2 linked regions of the Xenopus tropicalis genome follow. The protein of the gene in region 1 binds, or shares a complex with, the protein of each later gene. Links are inferred from orthologs where the notes say so. Each region holds a gene or a part of one and is shown on either strand. Other genes may lie near its edges.

Region 1 (12,195 bases):
TGAGGTGGCACCTTAAAAAGCCATTTCCAATATGAAGGGTTGTCCACAAACTTTTGCCCATATAGTGTAGCAGCCTGTCTTTATCAGAACCCTTGAATGAACACTGTAGAAATCAAATACCAGCTTTGATGCCAATGTTTATGCACTGGCACTTGCAGCATTACATCAACTGTTCTGCTATAGGCAAGCTATGTTTCAGAGACAACTAATATAGCCTGTACAGGATACAGTAGTTAAGACTATGTTTAACACAGTCCTTAGTAAGGGGATGTGCAGGTCCCTGTACTCGGAAATGGAGAGCAGATGCCTGTGGCTATTTGCAAACCAAACGCAGTATGCAAAAAAACGGGCAAATGCATTTTCTGCACTTTGTACAGTGTTCAGCTTAGCAAATGAACCCTCCTTTGTTTTTTAAACACATTGCAGCGCTTAAAATAAAACAAATATTTTCAGCCTTATGCAAGGTGATTTATGAAGTATGTGAATTAAATATGTGGATAGTTGTTTCTATGATTAATGAGTGGTTCAGAATCAACCTCTTTTTTTTTTTTTTTAAAGATTATATTTTGCATATTTTTTCAGAACCAACCTTAATTGCCTCATGTATCTCATGCGCATCATAAAGAGTTGGAGTTTTCATCATTGCCAGGATTGTCTTCTCAAAATTCCCAGAAAGCTCAGACTTTAAATCTTTTATCAAATCCTATCAATTTAAAATAAAAAAATTAAAAAAAAAAACAGATAAAATGTTGAATTAGTGCATCAGAATGCAAATTGCCCAGTGGACATCGTCACCTGTACAAAATTCCTGAGACTGTCAATACTAAGGGGCACATTTATCAAAATACAATTGTTTCCAAATACAAAAAAATTGTATTTTTTCTAAGTTTTCGTACTGTGCTTATTTTCTGCGTTTTATTCTTGTTTTTTGTTTTTTCGTTAATTTGCACAACTTTTTCGCACTGGGAGACTTCCAAAAACATGCACAGAAGGAAGAAGTCAGAAAGGTTTTTTCCGCCGTTTACTATAGTTCGGATACGAAAATTTAGTGACTTTTGGATTGCAAATACAATATTATCATGACTATTACAATTTTTCGTATGAATTTTTGTGACATTTTGGATCATCAGAAATTATCGTATCTAATCCGAATTTTACTCATTTCGGGATTCGAACTTGTACTTCGATGAATCTGCCCTTAACCAACTTCGCCAAATCTGGCTACGAGTTGCATGTTTAGAATATAAGGCAAACAATATTGTTCATTTAACATTTTACACGCAGGAGATTTGCAGTAACATACACAATTTGCCATGATCCCTTTGCTAAACGTATATTGAAACAGTAGAATTCTTAATGAATCGCATAAGTCAGTGTAGGACTGGCCAGAAGGGATGACTTTGACGTAGTTGGCCAGCTTGAAGTATATTGCAAAGTATGGACAAACAATCCCTATTTTGTTTAAGGGGGAGGGCATTTCTTAGTAGCTTAACGCACAGAATGTCTTAATGTCCTATAATGTATATATTGATAATGGGTGAGTGCAGAGGATCTCTTGTTGTTGTTTATATATATAGTCCAACTAAAAGATAGCACACCATGCGAAGGGGGTTAATACCAGGGTTTCAGTCCCACACACAGGTATGGTATCCGTTATCCGGAAACCCGTTATCTAGAAAGCTCCGAATTACGGAAAGCCCGTCTCCCATAGACTCCATTTTAATCAAATAATGCAGATTTTTAAAATTTAAATAGGTAACGTATATAGAAAAAGCTAATATAAATCATAAAATAATTGATAATTAAGTTCTGATAATCTATTAATAATAATAAAGAAAGTGAAACTACTTAAAATAATAAAGAAAGTTATAAATACCTTCACTTATGTGCAAATAGCAGATGTTAATAAATGCAATATTAAACAAATAAGCAGCACTGAGCCAACCACGGTTTAAATTTACCTCTGACCCTGCCCACTACTTACCTTTCCATAAGCAGTTTTAAAAGAGAGGCTGATCTGTTGCCTTTGTTTGTTAGACCTACTCCCCAGGCATTCAATAATGGCCTGCTCGTCAGTTCCTGATTTATAAGAATGTATAGCATAGTAAGTAAATAGTATATTTATTCACAAACCTACATATATTTGATATGGAACTATGATAATATAAACCAAAAATACGACAGATACAAAAAAAGACCCAAGTGTTACTGTAATGGTGTTTGTGGTTAAACACATTTATTTTTTAAAAGATACATTTATGGTAAGGCCCCATAAGGCGGATTCTCAGCCAACAGTCCTGTATGCTTGAAAAATCTTCTAATTGTGCCTGCATATAGAAGCATTGAATCTGGCCAGGTGCAGGCACACTCAGCCAATAGCCGCCAACAAATGTAGGGACAATTAAAACATTTTTGTGGCTTTGTGGGGCCTTACCCTAAAAGGAGAAATGCTTTACTATACCGGAGTAAACAGCCCTAGAAGATCTCTATGCTTGTTTAAGATAGCATCTGCCATACACGCCGCCTCATTTTTCTAAAGTTGCATGAAGTTGCCTGCAGGAGGAAACCCTGCATGACTTCGGAAAAACAAAGCGGCCCGAATGCCTTTTCACTGCCGATTCACTTTGCTGCTGGTGGAAAGGCATTTTGGAGAGATTAGTCGCCTGCGGTAACACACATTTATCACAGACAACTAATCACTTCATGGGACATTAGCCTTAAAGGAGAAAGAAAGGTAAAAACTAAGTAAACTTTATCAGAAAGGTCTATGTAAATGCAGCCATAAGCACTTACAGAAATGCTGCACTAAGTTCTTTGTCAAAAGATTAGTTGTGTCTGTTTTCCTCTACCAGAGACACGCAGCTCTCTCCCCTCTCTCCTCTCCTGCTCCACCCCCCTCAAGAATGCTAAGAACTCACTCCCCCCCCATAGGAATGTGGATCTGAGCCAATCAGCAGAAGGCTTCCTCACAGTCTAACTAACTGAGCATGTACACTGGTCTGGGTCTTGGAGCAGGAGCAAGGCATTATGGGAACTTTCTTTACACAGCTAAGCGTTTTTTCTTCCTGTTTGGCTTCTGATCATCTGAACAGGTGAAATATGGGGAGACTTAAGGGCACTATTGAGAGAACTGAAGGCATGCCTGCAGCTTGAGATTAACTCTTTATTAGCCTTTCCTTCTCCTTTAAACATTAGAGCAAATAGCATTTTAAATGCCATTCCTTTCTCATAAATACCACAAATTAATGAAGTTTTTTTCTTTCAGTGTGTCTTACCAAAGCCTTTCATGGCCTTCCTGAGCACCTCAGCATCTCTCAATGCATCAAAGTTTGCTGCATCTGTGATGGTTCCTCGTGTTACCTAAACCAATTACAGATTAAAGGAAAGTTATGAACAAATGGGACAGGAAAAAATATTGATTCCTGACCTCAGTCAGCCAGTACAGATGAAGTGTAATAATAATCACAGATAAAACCAGTTACTGAAAACATATTGAATAAACTACTATTATTCTATTAATTATAACATAAATATAATTGTAAAATATTATATAATTTTACAATAAAAAGCTGTATTACACATATTGAACAAAGGTAGACTTACAATGATGCTTGCCTGATATATACTTAAGTAAATATAGCTCATTAGATACAAATGTGGAAACTTTTTCTAATGTAATTAAACGCCATCATACCTTTCCATATGAAGGTATGACAGTAGGGGTTGTTGAAGGTGGCATCCCAGGAGATGGGTAAGATGGATTCATTGCTGGGCCTTGAGGATAACTTGGTGTAGGCTGCTGTCCAGGATAGTTCATTGGGGGTTGTCCAGGCATGGGCATTTGGGGCTGGCCAGGTGTTGGCATGGGTTGGCCTGGCAGAGGTGCCGCTGGGTATCCTGTGTTATACCCAGGCATTCCTGGCTGTTGGCCTGCTCCTGGAGGAGGATACATGCCATAGGAAGGAACCTGAGGTTGCCCAGGCATTGGTGGTGCTCCATATCCACCTGGAGGTGCTGGGTAGCCACCTGGAGCTTGAGGGTACATCCCCTGTTGTTGGTCCATTCCTCCAAACCCAGCTGGCGGGAACCCTGAGGTCTGCAGTACATAAAAAAAAATACTGTTTGCTGTGAAGGTAAAATACATTATTTTAATGGTTATGGTTAAAGCATTAATTTAAACGTGTAAGATTGCCTTTAAGTTAACGTCTAGCATAATATAGAATGTCACATTATTAGCAAGTTTTCAAGTTATCTTCATTTTTTTTTTATAATTTCTGAATTAATTGGCTTCCTATTCTAATTTAAGATGGGGGTCACTATCTACATCACACTAAGGGGCATTTATGAACGCTCGAGCCTTCAGGGTTGAGCATACATATCCCAAAACCATGCAAGAGTTCCCACACTCTCACATGGTTTCTTTCTCCAACCAAAAAATAAAAAGTCTGGAAGTCTTTGGTGCTAAGCATTTTATTTTGTTGGTCGGGGAAAAGAAAAACCCGATTTGCACGAATCGGGCTATTCGGATGAAGAAACCACGTGGTTTTGGGACACAAATGCTCAAGCCCAAAGGCTTAAGCGTTCATAAATGTGCCCCTAAAGCTTAATTTAAAGTGGTAGTGCCCCTTTAAATAAGGATACAAAATATTATTGCGAGTGAATCAAACCTTATAATAATCTCATTACCTTACTTCACTAGTTGCATATGAAGAAAAACTACAGCCAATGTGTCTACTGTCCTCACAAAAATTAATAAAATGTGATTTAATGGATCGGTTAAATTGCACCAGTGCAGTTGAAAAAAGTGTACAATCACCAGTCAGCTTTGATCAGTCTACTCAAAGTTAGAAAATAAAAGCAAAGAGCAGACTGGCTCCTATAGATAACTGCACTGGACGAATTCAGTATCCTGTAAGTAAACCCTTGCCTGTTTCAGCAAGATAATACCTGTGTGAGCAAAGTAAGGTTCATACAAAACTGGTATGGAAACACAGGAGTGGAACCTGACTTCGCCTGCAGTGCTGAGCAAACATTTTTGCCAGGTTTCAGCGCGGACAAATGCCCAGAGACTTTACTGGCTAAAAAAAGTTGCATGGTAAAAAAAAAAAGGCACCAACTGACTTCAATGTGCTTCACAATTTTTTGCTAATTCACAATTTTTTTTGCCAATCTAAATGCGACAGATTCACTCATCACTAATGACCAGCACAGAGCCATAACTTTAAACCAACTGAACACAGGTGGGATGAATTGGAGTCCAATCTGAGGCAGGCCTAATCGCCTAAGGCTGATGCCACACCAAGCTTGCCGAAAATTCAGCCCTACGCCTGCTACTTGTGCCTGCACCGGAATGAATGGGATACGCTTGGGTGCAGGCACAAGTAGCAGGCGTAGGGCTGAATTTTCGACAATCGTTTTTCCGCTTGCCGAAAAAATCAGCCCTACGCCTGGTGTGGCATCAGCCTAACATCAGTGACCTCCTATGTAATAATGGAATGAAGGCCACAAAAATGTTCCCAAAACTAGTGGATTACGTTCCCTGTTAAAGCAGCAAAGAGAGGACCAACTTCAAATCATTAACCTTTTTTGATTAAGATGTTGGACAGGCAGGCCAGGATTTGTGGCGAGGCAACAAAGGCCCGGGCCTAAGGCGGCAAAAATTCAGGGGCGGCATGCAGCCCTTCCGCGCCGAAGTTTCGCTCCCCACTGCTCCGTATGAAGTTTAAATTGTCGCCCGCGCGAATGTGCATGCGTGCGCTCGAGGGGGGGGTTGGGGTGGGGGTTGAGTTGCGAACGAGCAAGCGCGTGGGGGGTGGTGAAGTGGGTTGGCCTCGGGGCACACGGATAAGAAATCCAGCCCTGTGGACAGGCAGGTGTCCACAAACTTTCAGCTTTACAATGTATGTTACCCCTCACTCACAAAGCAATAACCTGGTGTCCCTCCACCCAAGCTGAGGATCTGAAATATTTGGGAACCTTTATGCAACCTGCCAGACAGTACTGATCTCTTCTTATTCAATGCAGTGAAACTCAACTTCTGCAGACTGGCTGAAGTCAGTTTGTCCCCCCACTCATGTACCTGCAGGTATCAACCGGGGGGAGTCTTTTTATGTGCATAATGGCAGCAGAACTATCGGGGAAACATTGGCAAAATCCCTTGGAGAGAAAAGTGGACCAAGAACTAAGAGTGCTGTATTCATTTTTTACCACAGCCGAAGCAAAAATGTAACAGCAAAAATAAATAAAATGTCTGGAATCTTAGATTACCATGTGGGGTATTGTCTGAAGTAATCACGTATGACCTAAAGTAACATAAATAATGGCATATAGAAACAGTATACTAATTCCTGAAGCTGTCTACCCAACACTGAGTAAATGCAAGATTCTTTGAAATATACACTGTCATTCACAAATGAGAAATCAAAAATTTTGAGTTAAGCTGGCCATACACATACCAATAAAATTGAGAAAACCTAGTTTCGTACGATTTTTAGACTATTTGTGGGCTCCAAATGATCGTCCTGAAAATTATCTTACCATGGCGATTGGTCGTTAAGTTGATCGGCCAGATTAGAAAATTTTGGTTGGATAACGATAAAACCTGCGCATATATCTGACAATATACTTATGGGACCTACAACGAAAGTTACTTTCGTACGATTGGTGTCTGACAATTATTTCATGTTCAGGACATCCTCTGATTTGTATTTTAAAGCTTTATCCTACAATTTCAGTCTGAATGTTAGTTTCAGATTTCTGCATTTAAATGTACGACCGATCAAACATTCATCAGAAGAATACTAAAATCTGAACGTGTATGGCCACCTTTAATTTAAAATATAGACAGTCAGACAGATGGACAGATAAGACAGATGGTTTCCAATTTAACAGCAGACAATGATTCTGGAAATTTTCACTCACCATGTACTGTTGGGGGTTGTATTGCTGAGAAAAGTTTGACATGTTATCCAGCCCAATAGGAGGAGGGTTAGCAGGAGCTCCCCATGGGTTACTACCTACAAAAGGGACAAAGAAAAGGAACAGAGAAGGACATATTACTTGAAATTTAGGGTTGAGTGATAGTAAATACTTTTTAGTCTCATCATAGAAACATGCTATAGGTATGAGACAAAAGTGGTCATTTATGATGGAGATTGTGTTTAAACATTTAACTCATCAACAGATGTAGACGACTGGCTCGCCTGGAAAAATCCAAAAAGGTCACCCAGTGGGCCAGTAGGCCAGTTGGACAGCACTGGCCTAGGGTAATCTCAGATTATTCTCCGTTATGGTTGGAAATCCAGCTAGGATTTCCAACCATAAGGCCAGCAATTATGGCAAATATCCCCGTAATGGCTCTCACACCAAACAGTGGCTGATTTCAGAAAATGTTAGTTTAGAGCTTAATACATAAAAACGCACCATTTGATAAAAATCCCACAGGAATGAATAGAACGTAAGTGGGTTTATATGAATTAAGTTATAAACTCACATTTGAATAAATCTGCCCCTTAGCGTCCTCATTACATAACCCCATAATGGGTCGTGGGCAAACATAGTGCCTTTATTGCACATGTGGGACGATATTGTGCAGTTCTTATCAAGTGACTAAATAGTAGTGGTAAGATTTACTATCGTCTATCCAAAAGACGCAGCTGCTGATTTATTAAGTTTCAATTTTGCTGCAATTCATGATGCTTTTTTTATGGTTTTTTAATCTTGATCTTGTTTTTCCCACAATTTGGATTTTTTTTTTTATCACATAAAAAAAAAGTCTGAAAACTTTTAGATTGTGGGGCTTTAATTGTTATTTATTTTAAAGGATCATTTTTTTGCTGGAAATTTGTTGAAAGCTTTTGAAGTTGAATATGATATTAATCAGCCCCATGTTTTGGGTGATTCCAAGTGGTTTGCCACCCAAATAATTAACAGCTTGATGGGTGGGCAGCATAATGATCAGAATTGCCCCTTCAATGATCTGAATAGTAATTGCTGGGACCCTGCTGGTAAGCTGATCAGGAAAATGATTATTGCTTTGAAATGTGGCAGTGGCTTTGCAGATCTATAGTTGCCTGACTAGTGAGACAGTAAGGACAGGGCTAGGCTGATGCCACCTATAGTGCACTACTGGGCAAACTTAGTGCCTTTTATTACATAAGGATTGTGTGCTTTTTTGTCTTTTTTCTTTTCTGGAGAAAAATTGCGGCTATGAAAATGTCAATTTTCTGGTTTGACATCAGCCTTAAATACACTGAAACCAGGTATGTATCATACAGAAAATATTCTGAAATCCAGAAGAAAAATTTACTTACCTGTGGGCACTGGTGGAAACCCACCCGGGTATCCTGGGTAGCTCATTTAACTGGGATTTGATAGTCCTTTCTGAAATTATAAATTTCTGTATTACAGACAAATATAACCAAATGCTTGTATATAAAATTATATCTTAAAATATAAAATTTCTCCTTTTTTTTCCATAGTCTGCATGCACACAGCAGCAGTTACACCAACTCCGCCCCCCCCCCCCCCCCCCCCTGAAAGTCAGAATATGGGACTGCGGGCTGAGTTGTTAAAAGAGGGACTGTCCTGCAAAATTCGGGACAGTTGTTTACCCTCCCCACATCCTAACTTGTGGCACCCTTCAGTTCTCTTTTAAGAGCTCTGGCACACGAGGAGATTTGTCGCCCGCGTTTTTTCCCCCAGGCGCTTTGGCGCCACGACAATACACACAAAGAGATTTCATGCGAGTTGAGCTCCAGGAGATCTGCTACCCATGGTACCACACAACAGTTACCCCTCCCACATGTTTACTCAAGTCGCTCAGGAAAGGGTCTGTGTGCGATTTGAAACAGCAGGCGACTTGAAGTAGCCTCATATGTTTTGACGCTGGCGATTTCCATTGGTTTAGCATTGGCGTCTTGTCGTTCGTCTTGTCGCCAAATCGCTCTTTTAAAAATCGCTGGCGACAAATCTCCTCCTGTGCCAGAGCCCTAATTGTGTCAGGGAATCATTATGGTTCCTAATCTACATCTGTTCCTTTGTCTTGTTCACCAGGAATTTGCTATACAATACTGTGTTTATGTTATAAATAAAAATCAATTCATCATGTTTTACAATGGTATGCCGAAAGAGAAAAAAAACAATAGCTGATAATGTTAATTGTGAATTTGCAGCTAGATTTAACTTTCATTAAAGTTTGTTGAAATATATTTCTTTCACGACCCATGGCTGTAAGCCAAAGACTATGCAGTTGCTCAGTCATTTTTATGTATGTTCCCTGTCACTGTTCCTATTAATAAAATCCCTGGCAGTGACATGTCATGCATCAGCTCTAGCACAAACATCCCTCTAGGGCAGGGCATCGGCACACAACATAACAGTTGAGCTTTCAGTCCATCAAGTTTAACCTGTTTGTGAGAATAAATTGCAAGCTGATCCAGATAAATGGGAAAAACCATTCAAGTCTCTGTAATTGCCACAGAGGGGGGGGGGGGGGGGGAGATATTTTTTTAATAACTGGGCAGTCAGTTCCGTTCCTGGATCAACTTTGTAGTAAGAGTTGATTCAGTTTAATGTTTAATAAACATAAAGAACCTAAATGTAAAAAAATAGCTTTCCTGTAAACTACTATACAACTCTACTCTCTGCAGAACTGAACTGAAGATTTAGTTTTTGTTTTTTTTTGTGGCTTTCTTCAGTCTGCAGTGGTCTAATATAAAACAAGGTGTTTAAAGGTGGCCATAAATGGGTCAATAAAAGCTGCTGACGGTTGGCAGTTTATTGACCAGTATATGGGGCCCTCAGACAGGCTTACCTGACCGGTATGTGGCCGAAAATGTCCTTGCTTTGTGTGCTTAAGCAAATAATATAAATGAGCCACAGAGTTTCTTCTGCCTGATAAGTTCTAAGTGTGCTTATGCCTTTGTGTATTAAGCACTTGGGGAGTGTCAGAATGAAAATAGTTCCAGCAGCTGGCAGCATTTTCACCCACGCATCTCACATGGGCAAAGCTTGATAAACATGCATTTACTTGCCTAGCAACTAAAAGGTTAATTGGCTCCTAATAAATCTGATCATAGTGTATGTGTGTGTATGTCCCACTAGGAGACTGATGTGAATGATGTGCAGTATAATCTCTAATATCTCTATAAAAGCACTGTGGGGCTTATTTATTTTTGAGTTTGTTTTTCTAAAACGAAACTCACATATCGAATGATCACCTATTTATTAATAAGCAAAATAAAAAAACTTAGTATCTCAAATTTTTCAAGTTTACGAGCTCTATAAACACAAAACATTTGAGTTTAAGAATAAGGCTTGACTTTGCCTATGACAAATCCCATTGACTTCTATAAAAACTCACAAGCTATTAGATGGTGAATTTTTACATTCGAGTTTTCAGGGTTTTTGCACTTAATAAATAATAGACATTCAAGTTTTAAAACCATAACTCAAATTCAAGGTTTTTTAAGCGCAAAAAAAAACTCAAATGGAGAAAAAAAATCAATTATAAAGAATAATAATAAAATACGGAAATAAAATAAGGTATGGAGATCCAAATTACGGAAAGACCCCTTATCCGGAATACCCTTGGTCCCGAGCATTCTGGATAACGGGTCCAATACCAGTACTGACTCGGGTAACTTTCTATTTTCTTATCTTAAAGGTTAAGGAAAGTTAAATGGGATGTTCACCTTCAAACAATAGCTCAAATTTGAACAGCCCCTGTCAGAAAAAAAACATTTTAATATTTAAAATGGTTAGCTTTGAAGCAAAACACTCACCAATCTTCTCTCTGCTCTTTCTGTAGGGGATTTTCCAGACCAGGACTTGGCACACTGAACTGGTTCTGCACTTGCCTTCCCTCTCCTGCTTCATTTGAATATTTTTTTATACCACTGTCTGACAAGATTCAGCCAATGGCTGAAAAAAATGCAAAATGCAAATAAAGCAGGAGAGGGAAGGCATGCACAGTAATAAGTTCAGTGCAAACTTCCTGTTTGGGCAATATGCAAGTTTGGTGTTGACGATCCCATCCAAAGTAAGAGGAGAAAGCAGAGGAGAGAGCATTCTAGCAGTGCTAATCTGGGTCTGTAGCTTCAAAACTAGCATTTTAAATAATAAAGATGAATTACAAAACTGTTTTGTTTTTTTTCTACAGGGGCTCTGTCAAATGGCTGAACATCCCTTTTAAAATCACTACAGCTTCATAAATAATTAACTATAAATAGCTTCAGTAGCAGCCCACTGCAACATTTTAGGGCAAAGGTCCACAGATTAGTCACCCGCGGTTAATCTAACGCAGTTCTTCCTGCAGGAGAAAACTTCATGTGACTTCGGAAAACGAAGCACCGTGTAGGCCTTTCCACTGGTTCTTCACTTTTTTGCTGGTGAAAAGGTATTTTGTGGAGATTTTTGCTTGTGGTAGCCAGGATTGCAGGCAACTCATCTCGTGAGCCAACATTCTTAATCCCTTATTGTATATATACAATATCAAATTCATGATACTATTTGTATTTGTATTGCTTATTTTTTTTTAAGGTCATCTATTATAAATCTTCCATAATGTTTTGAAACCTGACCTTGGGTTGCTATGGCAACAAACCCCATAGCAACCAGGTAACTTTTACAAAAGCTACACAACTAAAAATATGAATAAGTTAAAAACCAACCAAAATAAATAAAACTAAAACACTGCAGAATTCTGCTGCTCACGTCATACTAAAAACTACAACCCCATTAGTAATCTGCTCTGTAACCTTGCTTTAAATACAGTTTGTTGGTTTTCAGACAATTTAACATTAGCCCAGAGTATTATGAAACTAGTGATCCCATAGTGTACTCCTTGGTCTCTAAACTGTGTATGGCAGCATCTATTTAAACAGCCGTTTTTGTCTTCTCCTACACCTTAAGGCAGTCGCATGATGCCTCTTTGACCTATTAACCAATAGGCCATATGAGTGAACAGAGTAAGAGGGGCCAGACAGAACATGGTTGCCTTTCTAATGTTCCGACCATAAGGAAGTGAACAGGATTTGCCAATGCACTGGCCAACATTGCACATATGCAGAATAAATTTCCAAACTCAATTCCAGAAATAACAGATACATAGTACATGGATAAAGGTGGGAATCAGTGGGCCACATACACAAACCAATAATTATATTGCATTTAGTTTGATATTTTTGGTACCTG
Region 2 (12,195 bases), about 12 Mb from region 1:
CTAAACAAACCTACTGCACTCATTAACTCCCTCTCTAAAAAACCTGCACAACTCTTCTCTACCTTTAACTCTCTGCTGTGCCCTTCTCCACCCCCTCCGTGTGCTTCAGTCACTGATCAAGTTATTGCAGAGCACTTTAAAAATAAAATTGACACCATCCGAAGTGATATTGCACAACTTAATCCCCATAACCATTCACTCCCACATGCTACCCAGTCTCTTCTTGGCTCCTTCTCCTCAGTGACTGAAGAGGAAATCTCAAAACTTTTGGCTTCCTCTCACCTTACTACCTGCCCGCTTGATCCCATTCCTACCAAACTTCTACGCAATGCCAACCCGTCTTTTCAAAGCCTTAACTCATCTATTCAATCCCTTGCTCTCTACTGGAATCTTTCCCTCCCAACTGAAACATGCACTTGTAACCCCTATTCTGAAAAACCGTCCCTTGATCCCTCCAATCCTAGTAACCTTTGACCTATCTCTCTGCTCCTATTCATCTCTAAACTACTCGAGCACCTACTTTACAACCGACTGACGCTATTCCTCTGACAATAACCTCCTGGATCCCCTACAATCTGGTTTTAGACAACAACACTATACCGAAACTGCTCTAACCCAACTAACAAATGACCTCCTATTGGCTAAAGCCAAAAAACACTACTCGCTACTAATATTTCTTGATCTGTCTGCTGCTTTTGACACTGTGGATCACCCTCTTCTCCTCCAGTCTCTCCGCTCTCTTGGCCTTCGTGACACTGCCTTATCCTGGTTTTCATCTTATCTCTCAGATCGATCCTTCAGTGTCTCTTACAATGGAGCATTGTCTTCTCCCTTACCTCTTTCTGTCGGGGTTCCTCTAGGCTCTGTCCTGGGCCCCTTACTATTTTCTCTCTATACCTCCTCACTTGGCAAATTAATCAATTCTTTTGGCTTTCAGTACCACCTCTATGCTGATGATCCTCAGATCTATCTTTCCTCTCCTAATCACAACCCAGAGCTTCTAACTTGTGTCTCTTCCTGCCTGTCCACTATCTCCACTTGGATGTCCAAACGTTACCTTAAATTAAACCTCTCTAAGATTGAATTGGTTCTCTTTCCCCCATCCAACGACCACATTGTTCACTCCTCATATCCAGTCACTTATCAAATCATGTCACTTTCACCTAAGAAATATTTTCAAAATACGATCATTTATCACCCAACATGCTGCCAAAATTCTTATTCACTCTCGCCTGGACTACTTAACTCCCTATTAATTGGCCTTCCCCTCCAAAGACTGTCCCCTCTCCAGTCCATAATGAATACTGCACCAGGCTCATACACCGCTGCAACCGCTCCTCCTCTGCATGCCACTCTGCACTAACTACCATCCAGGATAAAATTCAAACTAATGACTCTCACATTCAAGCAGTTCATAACTCTGCCCCAACCTACATCTCTGAACTATCTCTAGATCCATTCAACCCGCTTGTTACGCTCCTCAACTCCTCTCATTCCCTCACACACTCGCATTCAAGATTTTGCAAGGGCTGCCCCCATTCTCTGGAATTCACTCCCACAATCTGTCAGACTTTCTCCCAATCTCTCTGCCTTCAAGCAATCTCTAAAAACGCATTTATTTAGAGAAGCTTACCCTCATCTATTTTAACATAACCTCAGTGTGCTGCTAAAAGCAATACCCTGTGCCACAACTCTGGTCATGCCCATTCCCACACCTTGTGTCTCAACCCTTTCTCCTTGTAGATTGAAAGCTCTTTTGGGCAGGGCTCTCTTTACCTCTTGTATCAGTTATTGATTGCTTTATATGTTATATGTAAAACAGCAATCCAGAAGGCAAAAGATAAAAAATGAGGAGTGTATTGTGGCAGAGGCTAAAACGAACCCCAAAAAGTTTTTTAATACCATGCCCCTCAAACGGGCGCTTTCTAAACAAAGGTCTATTGGTCTTACTGAAGTCATTTGCACATGGATAGAAAACTGGCTACAGGATCGGGTACAGAGGGTGATTGTTAATGGTACATTCTCTATTTGGACTAAGGTTCTTAGCATGGTCCCTCAGGGTTCTGTACTGGCTTCACTTTTGTTTAACATGTTCATAAATGTTATAAGTAATGTATAAATGTTATAAGTAATGTATCAGTGTTTGCAGATGACACAAAACTCTGCAGACCAGTCAATTCTATCCAGGATGTGGCATCCTTGCAGCAGGATCTTGACCAACTGGCAATCTGGGCAGCTAAGTGGCAGATGAAATTTAATGTGGATAAATGTAAGGTCATGCACCAGGGATGTAAAGGTGGCCACACACGTGGCAATTTTCGATCTTTCGTGCGACCATCGGTCGCATGAAAGATTGTTCCAACCCTCCACTGATGTTCAGGGCTGGATCGTCAAGATATGGAGGTAGAAACAACAGGATTTCTACCTTCTTCTGCTGATTCAGCCCTGAACATAGATTTTGTCTTATAACCCGCCCGATCGGCGAGTCGACCGATATCAGCAGCCTCCTGCGTTATCGGTCACCTCGTCGAGTTGCCATACACGCAACAAATATTGTACGAAACAAGGTTTCATACGATATTACCTGTGCATGTATGGCCAGCTTAAAATATGCAAGCCACTTAAACACTTAATGGGACTGCACTAGGTAAATCCATAATGGAGAAGGACCTTGGAGTCAGCTGCAAGGGCAAATACAGTTTCATGTTTTTAAAAGGACATAGATTCACAGGAGGGTGTTATTCTTACCCTTTACAGAGCGCTGGTAAGGCCCCATCTAGAATATGCTGTTCAGTTTTGGTCTCCAGTGCTCAAACAGGACATTATTGAATTAGTTATTGAATTAGGTCCAGAGAAGGGCAACTAAGCTGGTAAAGGGTATGGAAAGTCCCAGTTATGACGATTGGCCAAGTTAGGTTAGTTTACACAGGATAAGAGGCACTCAAGAGGTGATATGATAACTACCGTATATACTCTAGTATAAGCAGAGTTTTTCAGCACCAAAAATGTGCTCAAAAACGCAGTCTCGGCTTATACTCGCGTATATACGGGGAGTGCACACGGCAGAAATCTAACAAGGAGTTTTAGTTACACAGCTCTGAAGTCAATGGGAAGCAGACTGTGGTGGGCATCAGGTATTTTTTATGGCAGCTTCCTTAGCCTTCCCAAACTTGCCTGACAGCTAAAAAAAAAAAAAAAAAAAAAAAAAACTTTCCCACTCTAGGCTTATACTCGAGTCAATACGTTTTTTTCAGTTTTCTTAGGTAAAATTAGGTACCTCGACTTATATTCGGATCGGCTTATACTCAAGTATATACAGTATGTATAAATATATAAAGGGAGCATATAACCTCTCTGATGCTTTATTTACCAGTAAGACTGACACGAGGGCACCCAACACCTTTAGAAGAAAGGAGGTTCTGCTTAATTATTTGGAAAGGATTTTTTACTGTAAGTGAAGTTGTGGTATTTCCTCCCTGAATCAGCTGTACTGGCTGATACATTATATAGCTTCAAGAAGGGGTTGGATGGCTTTTTAGCAAATGAGGGAATACAGGGTTATGGGAGATCGCTCTTGGTACAAGTTGATCCAGGAACTGGTCCTATTGCCATCTTTGAGTCAGGAAGGAATTTGTTCCCCCTCTGTGGCAAATTAGAGAGGCTTCAAATGTTTTTTTTTGCCTTTCCCTTGATCAACTAACAGATAGGCAGGTTATATGTAGACATTACGGTTGAACTTGATGGACATGTGTCTTATTTTCAACCCAACTTACGTACTCAAGCTGACACAATGTAATTAAAAGCTATGCAATTTAAGAGCTCTTAAGGAAGAACAACATAGTAGCAAATTCCTCATTGATTCCAAGATGGCAATCGGAACAGTCCCTGGATCAATTTGTACTATGAGCTATCTTTCAATAGACTGTATTTACCCACTTGCAAAGAAAGGCATCAGGCTCTTTGTGCATTTGAGTCCACCTAAAAGCACCAGCTTTTTACTTGCTTAATTGTTAATGAAATGAAGGAACTGCTTACTATCTGCCCATGGAACAACTTGACTTGATACATTTGGTACCTTAAAAAGAAGAGGCCTACACAGAAAAAAGGTGCAATTGCTAGGCCATTCACTGCAGTCTGCTCTTTCAGCACATTTTAAATAACACCAATGTTACAATGTTACCTTTTTTCTACAAAACTAAAAGTTATTACTGCCCATATATATTTTATAGATCCAATTGTATTGTTCTGTTCATTACAGAATTGCTCTGAAATGCTAAGGCTTGTAATTTTAACTGTTTGGGGGTTGTTCACATAGGTCAGAAATAGCACTGCAACAGGAAGGCAACACTGCAACTGAAGGCAAACAGGAGAGTACCTAAATATATAAAAAGATTAACAAATTCAAACCACCAGGGAAATTTCTTATTTAAAGTTTTATTTAATAACCTACAATGACAAGTCTTGTAAAAAGCATCCAAACATAACACAACTGCAGCAAACAGCATTCTTGTTGTTACTTACAGACCAAGACACCCCCCTACACTCTTGAGAAGCATATTTCAAGCCACTCTGACAGAGATGCAGTTCATCACATTGACTCACATTTCAATAACAAAGAAAATGCACACATCATACAGCATTCACAGCAGTAGACATTTTAAGAAGGGTAGGGTGAAAATGTACAAACTGTTTCAGGCAAATTGGTTTAGCCCCAGTCTTTCAAATGAGCTAAAGTCCTTCGAATGCAGGAAACATTCGTACGTTACTTGCTCCCACTGCTCTCTGCACACGCTCATAATTGCCACTGGATTGAGAGACACTGACAACTTAGTAATCCATAATGCACCACTGGTCTCTGCATACGCTCTTGTTCTCGCTCATACCAAAGACTCTCATTCTTTGGAAACACCAATCCCACAGTTCAAACAGCCTTCTGGTTCCACCTCACAGCCGTGCGTTCAAATTGCTGGTACGAATTCCATGAAACAAACTGGATAAAAATGGATCACCCACCGTCTTAAGACTCATCACGCAGCATGAATCTTCAGGCTAGGAAAAAGCTTGTAGGCAAAAGTGCTCCAGGGCAGGGAATCAACTGCATTCAGTAGCAGGTTCCAGAAAGGCATGGTAAGGAGCAGAGATCAGTTGAAGCAGTGAACACAATTAAGGTAGGAAGACTGTCCTAAACAAAAATGCATGATTCCATTTACATTAATATACAGACTGAGGCAAAGAAAAAAGGCTGGAATTACTACAGGTTGTTAACCAGTGGTCTATAACATGCATGTTCAGTCAGAAAGTAGTATTGAGACCAGATTGTTAAACTGAAGTACAAACTTAGAAAACAGTTCCCTTAAGTTTACTACTGAACATACTCAAAAACCTTTTGGAAACATTCTGCAATATACTTACCATAAAAATTATGAATTACCCACCAGAAACCCAGTGTCTTCTAATAAGACTACATTCCCCATCCTGAAGATTTTGATTCCATGCTTGAACTAAAGCCGCCATTAAATCCACTGCCAGATCCAGCATTAGGGGACCCCCAACCTATTGCACCAGAGTTGGAACCATAAGAATTATTTGAACCAAAACTTTGTGGCTGGTCCCTTTGTTGATTTCCTTGACCCTGATTACTTCCCTGGGGGCCAGATTGATTCTGTTGACTAGCGAGCATACCCATCATACCCCAGCTGCTTTGCAATGCTGCCTGGGCAGCTGCCATCATTGCTGGATTTATGCTAAAGGCCCCAAAATTCATCCCTCCACCACCACCCATATTACCACCCTGGTTGTTGCCAAGTGCACCACTACTTGGCCGGCTGTTGGGGTAACCCTGGTTCCCAAAACTTGGGCCAGGAAATCTGCCACCTCTCTCTAATTGCCTATTGTTATTGTGCTTGGGCTCTGCAGTAGAAACATGAACGCTGACTCCTTTAATGATCAGGTCTTCACCACAGAGAGATTGTGCAACCTAAAAGAAATAACATTTGAATGAGTACCCAGCACAAAAACCATAAGTTGTTCCACATCTGGATTTACATTAAGGTGCAAATTTGAGTCTAAGTCAACACAGCACTCTTGTTTTGCAGGCATCATAGACATGAAGTTTAAAGGAGAATGAAAGGTAAAAATTAAGTAAGCTTTATCAGAAAGGTCTATGTAAATACAGCCATAAGCGCACACAGAAAAGATGCAGAGTCCTCTTTCAAAAGAAACAGGATTTATTTTCTTTTGTGTACACATGTACTTAGGTATCAGACTTCCTCATAAAAATCCTTAATTTCACGGGCTGGAGTCTGAACATGCTCTCTCCTGCTATTATAACAATTCACTCCCCCTCCCATCAGAATGTCAAATCTGAACTAAGTTACCAGCACCTAGAGCTTGAAGCTACTGAGACCAAGCTAAAATGGCAGCTGCTATCTTAAACTGAGGAAGCTTTAAGGGCTGATTACTTAGGTATGGTAAAGCTTTCTGCAGAATAAACATAGCATTGTAGCTTGCACTAACGTGGCTAATCTATTGGCAGTAAAATGCAAAAATGATTTTCCTTCTCCTTTAACTGGAAGGCAGGTGTATGCACAACATGCAAGTTTTTTCAACACTCAGCAGGGGGCAGGCACAGAAAATCAAGCAGCATGGGACATCTGATTTTCTGGACTAAGGGGCATATTTATTAAGCTGTGTAAAACGAATTTACTGAAAAAACAACGTAAAAATCTGTAAAATAAATGGAGAAGATCGCTGTCTGAACACCAGATTTTATGCCGTTATTTTACAAGTTCTGGAAGAAAAAACATGTAAAGAAATTGTCGATTTTACGCCTTTTTTTTTCTACACAGCGAAGCCTGGCGACGTGTGGTGAATTTTCTCGCTTTTTTTTTTTTTTTTACACAGCATACTATAGAGTATGTAGACATCCTGGATAGTTTGCACTGAAACGGTTGCAAGGTTGCAAACAAAGGACCTGTATGTGTACAGTGCCATGCATTCACTTATACCAAACTAGAGAACAGCATCTGCTCAAACAACTGTTTCAGACTGGGTAGGTGGGGGGGGGGGACCATGAGGTCACAATTAAAGTCAGTGAACCAGCACATCTCAGTTTGTTGTAGGCGACTGTCTACTAACATTCAGTCTAATATCTAAATAAAAATAACAGGCAAAGTCAAGAAAAGGATAAAGAAAATTTAGTTCAAACAATCTTTACAGCGGCCAGTTATTTTGAACTGCTACTTTAATATATACACCTAATGTGGCCCATCCTGTACAGTACCCTGAGCGACTCCTCTGGGTTGACACTGTATAAGGGGCCATATACATTTATCACCACCTTTGTATGATTCAGTATTTGAGGGACAAATATTTGGAGCAACAGCAGTTAAAAGCGGAGACGTAGCGCACTTTCTTTCAGTTGACAAATTGTCAGGGCCGATAATTCTTGATCCATCAGGACAACAGGATGTAAACTGCCCCTGACTAACCATACATACAAGTATAGTCAAAATAGGTCAAACTGCCTGACCAAATCTGGGCATGTGTCACTAGCTTAAAACAGTCACACACATCCTGCACCAAGCTGACCAATGAACCTATACAAAATGCAAGGGGGGAAACCTGGTCAACCAGGTACTGTTTTTGAGCAATGAGCTTAAATAGCAGCACCAGAAAGCGACTGATGAAAAACTCTTGCATATAACCCATGCAGCCCAATTTAATCAGTCATCCTGTGAACATACAAGCTTTATATTATCGCAGTCTTACCAGATAATGTGACAAAATCAGTGACTCTTCGTTCAACCAGCAAAAATGGCTAAACTTATTTACATGTAATTAGCTTGCAATCAGGGCAGCAAGGCAGAGAGGTCTTTTTTAAAAAATGAGTCTTGGCTTACGGCACACAGCACTGAGCCAAAAAAGTTGCCATCCAGTCCAGTGCACTTGAGTGCAATATGGACTGCACTTCCAGCTGACAGTAATGGGAAGATATCTGTTGCTTGACTTCATAGAGAGTTTTAGAAACAGTCATGGCAATAGCTAGATACTCATGGAAGATAACTGGCCTGTTTGGCTATACAATGCTAGCCAAAATATTTAGTACAGTGATACCTTATCTGACTGTTACCTGAATGAAAGGATAAGGTGTTGAAACCATTTCTGTGTAGCTGATCATTGTAAAGACATGCTGTAAGCATTCGCCAGATGTATTTACCAGCACTCCTGATCATAATCTGCTTGAATGGACCCAGACACAGTGAAACAGTATTACAGTGACGGCCACAGAATACCTTTATTATTCCTAAACAGTTTCCCCAAAGGTAGCCCAATACGGAGTGCATTTCACTACATGCACATGGTATGTTTGGGTGGTGTTAGTGTGTACACATTTGGATTTGTATCAAACTTAATTGCAAGCAAGTGGAAATAAAAAATAGGACACTTGCAAAATGAGACTGCAGTGAAGGATAAAATGATTTATTTTCTATAAGCTTTAGTAAGTACACCTGCATTTAAGCAGACTAGCATGATCAAAAGACTCTGAAGCTTGATACTATACCACTGCCCTTTAACACAATGATTCCCAAACCACAAGGCTGGTCCCTCTAAGGCCACCCAAAGCAGTGGTTGGAAATGCCTTTTTGCTGGCCTAGATATTCAAAGGAAAGGCTTGGAGGCCAATTAGTGCAAAATTTGGGTAAACAATTTTGGTCAGAAATGTTTAAAATTATGGCTTAATGGCTAATATATGCATGTTTTCATTTAACTGTACCCTTGTTATGAGCTGGGGGCCATAACCAAGGGCCAAACCTCAAAGGGAGGTGACTTGTGCCAAATAGCCCAAAATCCAATGCCCTAACATTAAAAATTGTGGATTTTTCTTGCAAGCACTTAAGTTGCATTAGCTTCCTCACCTGGTCATCAGCAAATGTAACAAATGCAAATGCTCTGAAAGGCTTTGGAATAAAGACATCCACAACTTCTCCATACTGGCTGAAGAACTGGCGAAGCTCCTCAGCACTCATATCTTCTGTGCAACGCCCAACAAAGACCTTCCTGCTGCGCATAGGTTCATCTGGACTCTAAGGAAAATTTGAATTAGGTTTTAAAATTGTGTTTTCTTGGACTATTACAGATAAGTTTTTTTGGGCCCAGGGGTTAAACCTTATATTTGACCTAATCAAAACAGCCTACCAGGAAAAAAATTACTTTTGCGTACTTTTTTGGCCTACATGATTAACACATATTAAATGCTTTAAATCGGTAACAAATATGGAATCTGGGCTGTGCCAAAAGGCTCTAAGTGTCAGCAAAATAGAATATTTTGTGACAATTGCCCTTTATTGCAGAGTGGCCTGAGGAAAATGTTTGCGTGCCCTATAGTTTCAAAATAAATAAATAAAAATTGGTTTTATAAGGAACCAGTGAGGGAACCTTTTGATCTGGGCCAGTGTATGGAGTTCCATTTGATAATGCACTTCCTGGTATGCAATTTCATAAAAGTTGCAAGAAGCAACAGCTTTAATGAGGGGGAAACACATGATTAAAACCTGTAGCTTTCTCAGGGAAGGGATTGTTTAAAGAAACACTAGCATATTTTCAATGAACGGACAGTACTGGGGGTGAGGGTCAGGTTGTTCCCATTACAGTCAACGGAAAAGAGTGGTCTGAGCACCTGTGTTGACTAAATTATGCCAGCTGAGAAGATGCCCCATGTGCCATCATATTTTTTGCCAAGAACCAGGAATAAAGCAGGTGAAAAAATGAAATTCTAAAAAATAAATAAAAAAAATCCATGCATCCACATACATAAGTTTGCACTCATTTATAATGAGTTTGAATGTAAATATCCGACAAAACATGACTGCAAAAGATCAATAGTAATTTAACAGGTAGAAAAATGCATTTCTATGCATTTAGTAACATTACCTTAGAATTTGGTAGCTTACAGTCACACCAACGGCCATCAATCATATGACGCTGAGACATCACTTTTACTTGTGTCTCATAGTCTGCAAATCTAACAAATCCAAATCCTTTAGAATGACCTGTCTTAGCATCTTTCTTTACCTGTAAGAAAAATTGATAGTTTATTATAAAATTATCCTTCCTGGCATTAAAGAAAGAAAACCTCTTTTAAGACTTCAGGACTGATAGCTACTGCTAGTTATTTCTATTAACACTTAGTGACAAAGTTTCTCCTCTGCAACATCAACAAGATTCAAGTTTGTTTTAAGCAATAAGGATGCAGCATTACAAGCAGAAAAAAAACTGCCATCATCTGACAATTGTGTGAAACCACACAAATGGTCTAAATTGTTTTTAAGTTATACAGGTACAAAACCTGTTACGCAAAATGCTTGGGACCTGGGGTTTTCTGGATAAGGGGTCTTTCCGTAATTTAGATCTCCATACCATAGGTCTACTAAAAACAATTATTAAAACATTAAACCCAATAGAATTGTTTTGCTTCCAATAAGGATTAATTTCATCTTAGTTGTAATTAAGTACTGGGTACTGTTTCTTTATTACAGAGAAAATGGAAATCAAATTTAAAAATTTGAAATATTTGCTTATAATGGAGTCTATGGAAGATGGCCATTCCGTAATTCAGAACTTGCTGGAAAATGGGTTTCCGGATAACTGATCCCATACCTGTACTGGGACCTTTACCAGGGCTGGAGATTTCAGCGGTTCCCCTTTTACCAGCAAAGGGTTTATTTTCAGATGTTTGCTGTTGCCTTTTGAGGGAACAAAAATGCCTGAAATTTCTACCATAGAACTTAGAGGCCAGTATACCAATACCAAAAAAAACATGCATATTATGTTTATGCAGCAAAGATTGCTCATTATGGATACCATTGTTGCCCCAGCATATCTTACAGTCCAAGATTCCAATTTCACTGACAAAATTCTATTTGAAGCTAGTTAACCTGCTGCTTTGTGTGTGGGAGGAAACAAGAATCCAAAAAATACATAAGGGGAATATGCAAACTTTTTGTAGATGCCCAGGTCAGAACCGACCATCCATAACACTACTAGGCAACAGCAAAGAGAAAAAACTTCCACATAAGTGTTAACATATGTATATAGACATGTCATTCCTTTCTAAACTGCTGTCTGTATCTAACATATATAAGGCGATTATTATGCAATGGCGTTATAGTTATTTGTCAACCTACCAATACTAACATCTGCAACAAAAAAAGAGCATTACATATTTTTATAGTAACAAATTTCCCATTAAAAATATCCTTTCTAAACACATACAAAAAAAACAAAACAAAAAAAATCAAAACCCTGTTTAGGTACCTGCACCATAATCACTTCACCAAATGTGCTGAAATAGTCTTTCAAATCTTGTTCTGTGGTTTTCCACGGAAGACCTAACACAATTAGATCTGATGTTTTTGTCACTGCACGTTTTATTTTGACTGCAGAAGAAGCATCAGTTTCATCCATCTTCCTTTTGTTATCTGATGTAAAAAACATTTACAAAAGTAGATGCACATTTTAATTGCAAAGCTAGTTCACCAATACAAATGGCATTTCCATAAAAGTAAAAAAGTTGTTAAAGGGGATATAACTAGAAAGCAAATAAGAGAAAGGATCTCCAAGCTTCTGAAGAGGTTACTACTCAGGTTGTAGTCATATTGAAGGCTGAAAATGCACTGTTTTTTGACACTAAGTCAAAATCTTTGTTATGTGTTCTTGTAGTGTTGCAGCTATGACAAATAAACAGCCTAATCGCATAAGGGCTGTGACAGACGGGGAGATTTGTCGCCTCGTGACAAATCTCCCCGAACTGCCATCCCACTGGCTAGAATGTAAATGGCCAGTGGGATGGCATACGTGGCGCCAGAATTTGTGGAAGTTGCCTTGAGAGGAAACTTCTGCGTCTTCGGCAAAGCGCGGCGCTGCGTATGCCATCGCACCGGCAATTTACATTCTAGCTGGTGGGATGGCATTTCGGGGAGATTAGTCATAAAGGCTCATGAGATAAGCAAAGAGGGTCCAGCATAGTAGTATTTCTCTGCACTAACACACTGCAATAAGACATTTTTAGAGCAAAGCTGTCCAGCTAGGCCTGATGTAACCCACCAAGGAGTTTTAAACTGGCCTTTAAACTGAAAACCAAAACTTATGTAGTAAACCTTTAATACATAGTGTTCAGTATTCTCAAATAAAACT

The links.
Region 2: the proteins of anxa11 (region 1) and tardbp are in contact, whole or in part, in a cryo-EM structure (PDB 9FOR), measured with the Homo sapiens proteins. The link is inferred for Xenopus tropicalis from reciprocal best matches to the Homo sapiens genes ANXA11 and TARDBP. Residues at the interface, in NP_001148.1 of Homo sapiens: Gly56, Met57, Ala59, Met61, Ser62, Gly63, Phe65, Asn69, Pro71, Asn72, Leu73; in NP_031401.1 of Homo sapiens: Ala328, Leu330, Ser332, Trp334, Gly335, Met337, Gly338, Met339, Ala341, Ser342, Gln343.

Annotation. Positions count from the first base shown.
Region 1 is NC_030683.2:53,068,933-53,081,127, forward strand, and holds part of anxa11 (annexin A11), read right to left. Parts: intron 10,874-12,195; exon of another isoform or gene 10,785-10,873; intron 8,383-10,784; 5' UTR 8,359-8,382; coding exon 8,313-8,358; intron 7,017-8,312; coding exon 6,922-7,016; intron 4,097-6,921; coding exon 3,695-4,096; intron 3,361-3,694; coding exon 3,276-3,360; intron 2,080-3,275; coding exon 1,985-2,079; intron 704-1,984; coding exon 590-703; intron 1-589. UniProt on the Homo sapiens protein: Binds specifically to calcyclin in a calcium-dependent manner. Required for midbody formation and completion of the terminal phase of cytokinesis.
Region 2 is NC_030683.2:64,769,942-64,782,136, reverse strand, and holds the end of tardbp (TAR DNA-binding protein 43), read right to left. Parts: intron 11,481-12,195; coding exon 11,317-11,480; intron 10,075-11,316; coding exon 9,934-10,074; intron 9,087-9,933; coding exon 8,919-9,086; intron 5,978-8,918; coding exon 5,462-5,977; 3' UTR 4,410-5,461; downstream 1-4,409. UniProt on the Homo sapiens protein: RNA-binding protein that is involved in various steps of RNA biogenesis and processing.